2 linked regions of the Macaca fascicularis genome follow. The protein of the gene in region 1 interacts with the protein of each later gene in a pairwise test. Links are inferred from orthologs where the notes say so. Each region holds a gene or a part of one and is shown in the gene's direction. Other genes may lie near its edges. The genes, in order: UROD and LRATD2.

Region 1 (4,379 bases):
GGTCCTGGGTGGGGAAGAGCTCACCTTTGTCAGCTTCACCCAGAGCCCGTGGCCGTTGCACAGCTCCTCGCCCGTGGTGCGCACGCAGGCGCCGCGCCGGAGCTCGATGCTGTCGCGGGCGGCGCGGAGGGGCCCGGAGCCGGTTCCGGGGGCTGGGCCTGCGGCGCCCACACGCAACCCCAGGCCCTCTGCCTCCCACACGGGCAGGAGCACGCGCGACGGTCCTGCCGGGTCCTTGTAAAGCTTGTAGAGCACCTCTTGCGGCACGAAAGCCAGCGCTGCCGGCAGCGGCCGCCCAGCGCGGAGGCTCCGCGCTGCCTCCGCCAAGAAGCGCACGCGGCCCAGCAGCTGCCGCGGGGACTCCAGCACCGCGCCCGGGCCAGGACCCGCCATGGCTAAGTGGCGGAGGTGAGCGCCTAAGGGCGATCCTACCCGGTGAACAGCTGGCGCGACCGCGGACGGAGCTTCCCACCACGCCCTGCCCCGCCTTTGGCCAGCCTTCGCCGTATGTTCTGGACTAAGCGCACCCAGCGCTCACCGTATTGCACTGTGTACTCCTACACTCAATCATATTACCTACCTCTGTGCCACCCTAACCCAGCCGACCAAACCCAAGATTGGTGATTTCTACCTGATCAATCTCCTTCTCTCCATTTCCTTGCTACTACCATTTTATCTCTACTGCTACTACCCTCATTCAATAACCGTTCTATCTGGCCTGGATCATTGCCAACATTTTTCTGGTTCTTCGGCCTGCTCTTTTTCCTCCCACTCCCAACGAATTTGCTGGACTCCCTATCCTATAGGTGGTGTGACTAAAATGTTTGAGACAATGGCTCCTTCCCCTGCCACTGACAGGAGTCTTGAGTCATTCGGGTTCTGTTTGTCACTCCTAATCCCAAGGACACTGGTAATCGTTATTCATTTTAATGTGATTACTGATTTCTGTTTTCCCAGTCTTATAGCTTCTTAAAGACCGGGGCTGTCTTGAGCAGAGCTAACCTCTACACCTACTGTAGGTCCAGGCTCTTAGTAGGTAATGTAAGTATATGACGATTTCAGTTTCCTGAGCAGCCTGGTTCCATCATCCTCAGTATGCCTGGCTGAATAAGACTATTAGAATCATGAGTGGGACTTGAGCCAAGCCTCCGGATACCCAGACCGTCAGATGAGAACAAATTCCTCATGTCACCGTAACATACAGTTACAGCGGAGTTCTCTTTTCAGCGTTTGTTGTTGCGTCGCTACAGCGGACTTTACGGTGAAAAAAGGTAGGGGTCCTACGGGCAGCAGCCAGGGCAGCCCTGGAGCTGTCGCGGGAGTCTGATCATGTGATCTTCAACATGGCGACGCCCTTGATTCCCTACAGAAAGGGGCGGAGCCTGGACGGGGTGGGGGCAGGCTCACATTCAGGTTAAGTTGCGAATTGAGCTCGCAGTTACAGACAGCTGACCATGGAAGCGAACGGGTTGGGGTGAGTTCTCCAGAGCACGCGGTGTGGCTAGTTGAGCTTCTGAGTCTTCCAACTCAGGACTCTATCCCTGTACTCCCCTTTCCCCACCTTGGAGATCTCTCAACCTGGACTCTGTTAGCTGGGATCCTGAATCCTAAAACCATGGATTTTTGAGACGTTCATCCCAGGGGCCTTAATTCAAGGGATGCCTCAGGATTTCCAACCAGGATCTCTATTCTGGGACCATCAACTCTCATCCCTCTTTATCCCCCAGCCTGGGGATCTCTCAGCCTCTGAACCAGCCCAGTGACATTCCCGTTTCTGAGACTCCGTAGTCCGAAGACCCCCAAACTATCCTTCCTGGGCCTTATTTCCTCCCCCTAGTCCCTCTAGTTGCTTCGAGCTTGGGAGAGTAGGGACTAAGTGGAGGGAAGAGGCCCCAGGGCGGGCCCTTCTAGAGTTTGTGCACCACCTGATAGGCAGAGAGGCGGCGGAACGGGCGGAAAGCCAGGGTTTGGGAGCTGGCCTGGAGGAGGTAGATAGCGGTCCTCGACTAAATCAGCCTTATGAATCCGCACTTTACCCAACCTCCAGCCTAGCATACTGACACCTACCCCTACCCCCACCTGATTGCCAGACCTCAGGGTTTTCCGGAGCTGAAGAATGACACATTCCTGCGAGCAGCCTGGGGAGAGGAAACAGACTACACTCCCGTTTGGTGCATGCGCCAGGCAGGCCGTTACTTACCAGGTAAGAGGCCCTGGAAATCTAGATAAAACTCCGGAAGGCGAAAAGTTTTCAAGGGGCAGGGGAGGGCTCTGGAGGGCCTCAAGGCTGAGCCCCGTCTTCCCTCTGTATGCAGAGTTTAGGGAAACCCGGGCTGCCCAGGACTTTTTCAGCACTTGTCGCTCTCCTGAGGCCTGCTGTGAACTGACTCTGCAGGTGAGGGGTGCACAAAAGAGGGAAAGATTTATGCCTTCAGTCTGCCACCTAGCAACCCGTCTCCTGTTTCCTACAGCCACTGCGTCGCTTCCCTCTGGATGCTGCCATCATTTTCTCCGACATCCTTGTTGTACCCCAGGTACCTACTCAAATCTGATCCTGGAATATAATCCAAGGACCCCTTGAAAATCCTTCTATCAGTCCAGTCAAGGTTTACAATAAGCACTTATCCTAACTGGATCGAGGGAAAAACTAAGGTTGAAAGAGATGGAGTTTGGCAGTTTTATTCTCCTTTTCCTTCCTTCTGGAATGAGCTGAACAGAACCTTTCCTCCTGGATTCCATTTTGGGAACCCAGATGTTTTCTCCCCCTCCAGGCACTGGGCATGGAGGTGACCATGGTACCTGGCAAAGGACCCAGCTTCCCAGAGCCACTAAGAGAAGAGCAGGACCTAGAACGCCTACGGGATCCAGCAGTGGTAGCCTCTGAGCTAGGCTATGTGTTCCAAGCCATCACCCTTACCCGACAACGACTGGCTGGACGTGTGCCGCTGATTGGCTTTGCTGGTGCCCCAGTAATGTGGGACAGGGCAGGGACTGGCGGCGTGGGAAAATCACTCTGGCAGGTCTGGGGTAGACAAAGGAAGGGTCAGTCTGGCTTCTGTACATGTGACACCATCTTTCTATCCTTCTGTAGTGGACCCTGATGACATACATGGTTGAGGGTGGTGGCTCAAGCACCATGGCTCAGGCCAAGCGCTGGCTCTATCAGAGACCTCAGGCTAGTCACCAGCTGCTTCGCATCCTCACTGATGCTCTGGTCCCATATCTGGTAGGACAAGTGGCGGCTGGTGCCCAGGTGAGTCCTGAGAGAGAGAGAAATAGGCTGAGATTTGGTCTGTAAGGACGAGAAGCAAGTGTCCTAAACCTGAGAGGGCAGGGGTCTTAATGCCAGGGATGAAAGAACCTTGGCCTCCAGTGATCTAGCTGAGCAGCCAAGCCCATCCTGACACTGGCAGTGGGGCTTAATGCTCTGAGTATTCAGAGACCAAAGCTAGTGCTGGGATCTGGAGAAAGTAAAACTTTTTTTTTTTTAATTACTGGATTTATAGGGTCAGGCAGTATCAGGGATTGAAGTCATTTGGGGAAAATTGAGGTGGATTTTGTATGTGGGGGGAGCTTCCTCTTTGTTACATATTTGTCTTCACCATACCCTAACTAGGCATTGCAGCTGTTTGAGTCCCATGCAGGGCATCTTGGCCCACAGCTCTTCAACAAGTTTGCACTGCCCTACATCCGTGATGTGGCCAAGCGAGTGAAGGCCAGGTTGCGGGAGGCAGGCCTGGCACCAGTGCCCATGGTGAGGATTGGGATGGGTTGAGTGAAGGTGGGCCTGTGGAGCTTTCAGGCTAAGTCCTGCATGGACTGGAGTGACCACTGGAGGGCAGCAGAAGTACAGTCAAGAAAGATTAGCAAGGCCCTCTGTAGCCTAAGATCTGCTTTTTTTCCAGATCATCTTTGCTAAGGATGGGCATTTTGCCCTGGAGGAGCTGTCCCAGGCTGGCTATGAGGTGGTTGGGCTTGACTGGACAGTGGCCCCAAAGAAAGCCCGGTAAGCTATGGAAGGGTGAGGCCTTGAGGTTGAGGTGGGGGTGTGGAGCTGCCACGTATGCGGTTACCAGAACGTGGCGCTGGCTTTGCTTCCAGGGAGTGTGTGGGGAAGACGGTGACATTGCAGGGCAACCTGGACCCCTGTGCCCTGTATGCATCAGAGGTAACAGACAGGGCCCCTCTGTGTATCTGTTACGGTGCACTCCTGTGGCTGTGGTTGTATTATTCTGTGTGCTTTTCTTTTTTAAATGTCTGTCTGTCCTTCTCTTCTACTCTGTATGTACAACATAAGCCCTAGGAAGACCGGACTTTTTGTTGCTGTTGTTCATTTGTATTTATGCTTCATGTCCAGACTAGGGATCTGATAAATTTTA
Region 2 (4,510 bases), on another chromosome or scaffold:
GTGGCCTCCCAGATCAGACAGTAGCAGAGGTCTCCCAATCTCATGAACATGGGATGACCAGCCATAATCTCTACAAGCCTAACTCTTGTCTATAATATGGTGATCATATGATGGCAACAAATATCACTCAGATAACAGCAGCCCCCACACCATTTGCTATCAAAAGGACTGGGGTGTGGTGGACTCATTCGGTCACACGTGCCTGAGGCCAGCCAGTCGGAAATTATTGAAACAGAATCTCACAGCACACAGTAGTCTCATGTTGATCTAACTTATACTGTGATCTCAGACTTGCTGAAGGACTAATTTCTATCACAGCCCTGCCAATATTGATTGCTTGGACTCAAAATTACATAAGTAGATTGATTTTTATTTTTTTCTCTCAAACTGGAAAGGATCACAGCAGTGCTAGTATATTCCTGTTTCCACTGGCTGGTTATACACGCTGGAAAAAATTAGTTAAAAGAAAGCAATGGAAGACAGAGCTCAGGTCTTGAATGGCATTTTTAAGTCCCCCACAGATAAGTTTGGGTGCTTGCAGTTGTGCCTAAACTTGTTTATTGTAAACAGAGCTGTCAATCTTCCACCCCCACCCGACCCATTATTTAAAAAATATAAACAACAACAACAACAAAACCACTTTGGTAGCCTACATTTAGGTAAAAGAAACGAAACCAGTGGGGAGGTGGAAGTGTCCTTTTGTGGTGGAGGTTAGTAGGCAGTACTGGTCTCCTGTCACTTCCCTAAGTCAACAGGAAGGAAATATATGCACCAGGGGCCTCTGCTAATTTGTTTCTAATTTAAGGACAATTAGGCAATTCCTACATCCCCCTAACCGCACCCCCCACCAAAAAAAAAAAAAAAAAAAAAAAAAAAAGCAGTCAGAGCTGCACGCTTTCTCTCACCATCCAACGAACTGGTACCCCTCTGGAAATACCAGAGGTTATGAACTTTGTACTAACTTCCAGGGACATCTAATAAATAGAGCGGTGGTCTTGGGACCCAGTCAGTGAATAAGTCTTCGTTCTGTGTTATACTGTTTCCTTTCTGTGATTTTCTTTTCTACCCCAAAGTTTCCCACTACTAACTCTGAAAATACCTTTAAAATAAAGCACTCTTCGAGCTGTCCTAGTGAAGAATCCTTTCTTGTGACCTTTAGGGCAAGAAATATGTTCCAGGAAAGAAAAGAAACGACTGTTCCTCCGTCTCCAGATACTCTGGGAAAAAAGAGGTGAAAGGGAAAAGACGCAAACACCAAACTCTCCTTCCCTTTCTAATTTCCACACTGGCAAGTTGTGTTTGCCTTCTAACTTCTCCCGGAAAGCAAGCGGAGTTCACAGCGCCAACCCTAGCCAGCGGGTGGATTATTTACCGGGGGATTTAAACCCGCTCCGGCGTGGGGGCGTGGCCAGGCGGAGCCCCGCGGCCTGAGTGGGCGGGGCGGGGGGCGGGGATCCCGGCGGCTCGGCGCAATGTGAAAAAGACCCGAGCTCGGGGAGTGAGCGCCTGTCTCTTTAAATGCCACGGGCTGCACTCCCGCCCGGCAGCCGGGAGCCGGATCTACAATCCCGTCCCTCCCGCTCCGGTGCTTGTTGCTCGCCCGGCCCGAGCGGGAGCTGTTGGCGCCCGGCTGCGAGGCTGCGGTCTTCTCCTTCCGCGCGCCCCACCTCCCCTGAGAGCTGGCTGAGGAGGTGCAGCAGCCCCAGCTGGCGGGAGGAGGCGCGGTGTGAACAGGGATTGCCCCCCGCCTTCAAGTATCCGGGCGCTACGCAGCCGCTGGGGAAAGACATGCCCCCAGTCTACCCGCTGCGCTGCCCTCTGCCCAGCCTCGCTGCCGCCCGCGCCGGGAGAGGGACTGCGGAGCCTACACCTTCAAACTCGTCCTAGAAGTCTTGGGGCGCGGCAGGGAGCCCTTCCCCAGGCCCCACGGCCTCTACCTCTCCGCGGGTGAGTTTGCGCAGGTAACCCGAGCCTGAGGGCGGGCGCGGGGGAAGGGCGGGCGAGCCGGGAGGAGGTAGCGCTGCAGGTGAGCCAGGTAGGGTGACTCACCTGCCCAGGTCGCGCTCTGAGATCCTCGCTTGTTCCTCTGGGGATGGATGCGTTGGTGGGGAGGAGGCGTCCCAGGGGCTAGTTAGGGCCCGAGGGTGGGAGGGGAAGTTAGCAGAGGAGGGGGGATTGGAGTAAAGTTTCTCTTTCCTTCCCTCTTCCTGTCCAAGCTTGGCAGGTAGGGCGCAGGCGGAAGCTGTAGAAGCTGCTGATGCAATGGGTTTTGCCAGGGCTAGGCGAAGGGCTGGGGACAGGGAGAACTGGAGTTGCCCAGTCTCCTGTGACCGTGACCTTAGAGGTGGAGAAACGAGGGAAAGCTCGCTACACCCGAAACTCCCCCTAAAATGGCTCCAGGTGCTGAGCCCCCACCGGTTCTTTTTCGGAATAAAACGCCCTTTTCACGGAGGGGCTCCTACATGGCTTTCTTGCCTTCCTCTCCCAACAGGTGGCTTCAGCCCCTGTCCGGGGACCTGTGCAAATGACCCTAGAGGTGGTTTCGCTTTCTCCCCTCGCGGCGGTGTGAACGTGTGTCCGCAGCGTGATGGGCAACCAGGTGGAGAAATTGACCCACCTAAGTTACAAGGAAGTTCCCACGGCCGACCCGACTGGCGTGGACCGGGACGACGGGCCCCGCATTGGGGTCTCCTACATTTTCTCCAATGACGATGAGGACATGGAGCCGCAGCCGCCGCCTCAGGGGCCAGATGGCGGCGGCTTGCCCGACGGTGGGGACGGGCCGCCGCCGCCCCAGCCGCAGCCCTACGATCCGCGGCTGCACGAAGTGGAATGCTCCGTGTTCTACCGGGATGAATGCATCTACCAGAAGAGCTTCGCGCCGGGCTCGGCGGTGCTGAGTACCTACACACCTGAGAACCTGCTCAACAAGTGCAAGCCGGGCGACCTGGTGGAGTTCGTGTCGCAGGCTCAATACCCGCACTGGGCGGTATATGTGGGTAACTTCCAGGTGGTGCACCTGCACCGGCTGGAGGTGATTAACAGCTTCCTGACTGACGCCAGCCAGGGCCGTCGCGGCCGCGTGGTCAACGATCTGTACCGCTACAAGCCGCTAAGCCCCAGCGCTGTAGTGCGCAACGCTCTGGCGCACGTGGGCGCCAAGGAGCGCGAGCTGAGCTGGCGCAACTCAGAGAGTTTCGCCGCCTGGTGCCGCTACGGCAAGCGCGAGTTCAAGATCGGCGGCGAACTGCGCATAGGCAAGCAGCCCTACCGGCTGCAGATTCAGCTGTCGGCGCAGCGCAGCCACACGCTAGAGTTCCAGAGTCTAGAGGACCTGATCATGGAGAAGCGACGCAACGACCAGATCGGGCGCGCGGCCGTGCTTCAGGAGCTCGCCACGCACCTGCACCCAGCGGAGCCGGAGGAGGGCGACGGCAACCTGGCGCGGACTACGCCGCCTCCCCGGCGCCCCCCTGCGCCCAGCTCGGAGGAGGAGGACGGAGAGGCGGTGGCACACTGATGGGCGAGCTGAGCGCAGAGCTGCGAAGGGGAACTGTTTGCAGTAGCAGCCGCTGCCCCCTTTCTCCCTCTCTTCCTCCCTCTTTTGCCACCGTCTGGGCCCCATCTGGGATTCCTGGGCCCTTTGGAAAAGAGTTGGTGAAATGCGCAGCCGGCTGTGGACAGGGGAGGAGGAAGGGGACAGAGGGAGCAGGTAGGAAACGCTTTAGTTGGGGGTGGGGGGCGTCTCTCTCTGCCCCCCTAAGTGTGTCTTCCTCTCCGCGGTGAGGCAAACTGTGGACTTGCCTGGCTATTAAACCTTGGTAGATCTGGGTTTATAATCGGCCATTCTTAAGCACGTGGGGTTGGGGAAAAGTCCGGAGCACCCATTACTGCCATTGCTTCCTATCCTGGGCTTGGAAGAATCCTGGTACAAAGGCCAGAGTGGGTTTGTGGAGTCGCCACCGAGGTACCAGCACAAAAGCTGCTTATCTCCTTTGGCGGAGCTGAGCTGTATGTGGGATCCAGCGGGGCTGGGGTGATTTATTTTATGGGATTCCTGGAGCGCAGGGCTGGTGAATCCATGACAGGGTCTGGGAGCAGCAGACCAAAACCACAGCAGTCTCCTATGAAGTTTAACAAATAGTTAAGCAAACTCGGGCTACAAAGACTTTGCTACCTCCCTCCTCCACAACCCCCAAGTAATTAGTCTTCTGGAGCTGGCTCTTAGCTGAGGCTCCTGCTACCTCCTGCTCCACCTGCCCCTTCCTAGGTTACAAGTAAATCATTGTCAAGGGCCAGCCAGGAGAAGATTTCAATTAAGGTTCTGTTCTGCTGCCTTTGTTTCTCCCCTGCTGTTGTAGGCACTTACAGCTGCGTTGTTATGAAAGGAGGGAATAGCCCTTTGTGTCTTTGATCTAATTAAACCTGCTCGGCTGTGTTCATCCGCAGGGCAGGCCACAGATAGGGTTGGCTGTGCCACTCCATAAAGTATCTATTGTGGAAGCAGCCA

What was found.
Region 2: the proteins of UROD (region 1) and LRATD2 interact in binary tests that used the Homo sapiens proteins (3 or more experiments, as listed by UniProt). The two-hybrid records come from large-scale screens. The link is inferred for Macaca fascicularis from reciprocal best matches to the Homo sapiens genes UROD and LRATD2.

What each region holds. Positions count from the first base shown.
Region 1 is NC_088375.1:189,720,743-189,725,121, reverse strand, and holds the start of UROD (uroporphyrinogen decarboxylase), read left to right. Parts: upstream 1-1,388; 5' UTR 1,389-1,454; coding exon 1,455-1,474; intron 1,475-2,047; exon of another isoform or gene 2,048-2,090; coding exon 2,091-2,203; intron 2,204-2,315; coding exon 2,316-2,395; intron 2,396-2,471; coding exon 2,472-2,534; intron 2,535-2,752; coding exon of another isoform or gene 2,753-2,771; coding exon 2,772-2,969; intron 2,970-3,091; coding exon 3,092-3,253; intron 3,254-3,616; coding exon 3,617-3,754; intron 3,755-3,905; coding exon 3,906-4,006; intron 4,007-4,101; coding exon 4,102-4,168; intron 4,169-4,379. Other genes in the region: E3 ubiquitin-protein ligase HECTD3, read right to left, coding at 25-393. UniProt on the Homo sapiens protein: Catalyzes the sequential decarboxylation of the four acetate side chains of uroporphyrinogen to form coproporphyrinogen and participates in the fifth step in the heme biosynthetic pathway.
Region 2 is NC_088382.1:136,230,743-136,235,252, reverse strand, and holds the start of LRATD2 (protein LRATD2), read left to right. Parts: upstream 1-1,587; 5' UTR 1,588-1,947; intron 1,948-2,049; exon of another isoform or gene 2,050-2,231; intron 2,232-2,491; 5' UTR 2,492-2,587; coding exon 2,588-3,520; 3' UTR 3,521-4,510.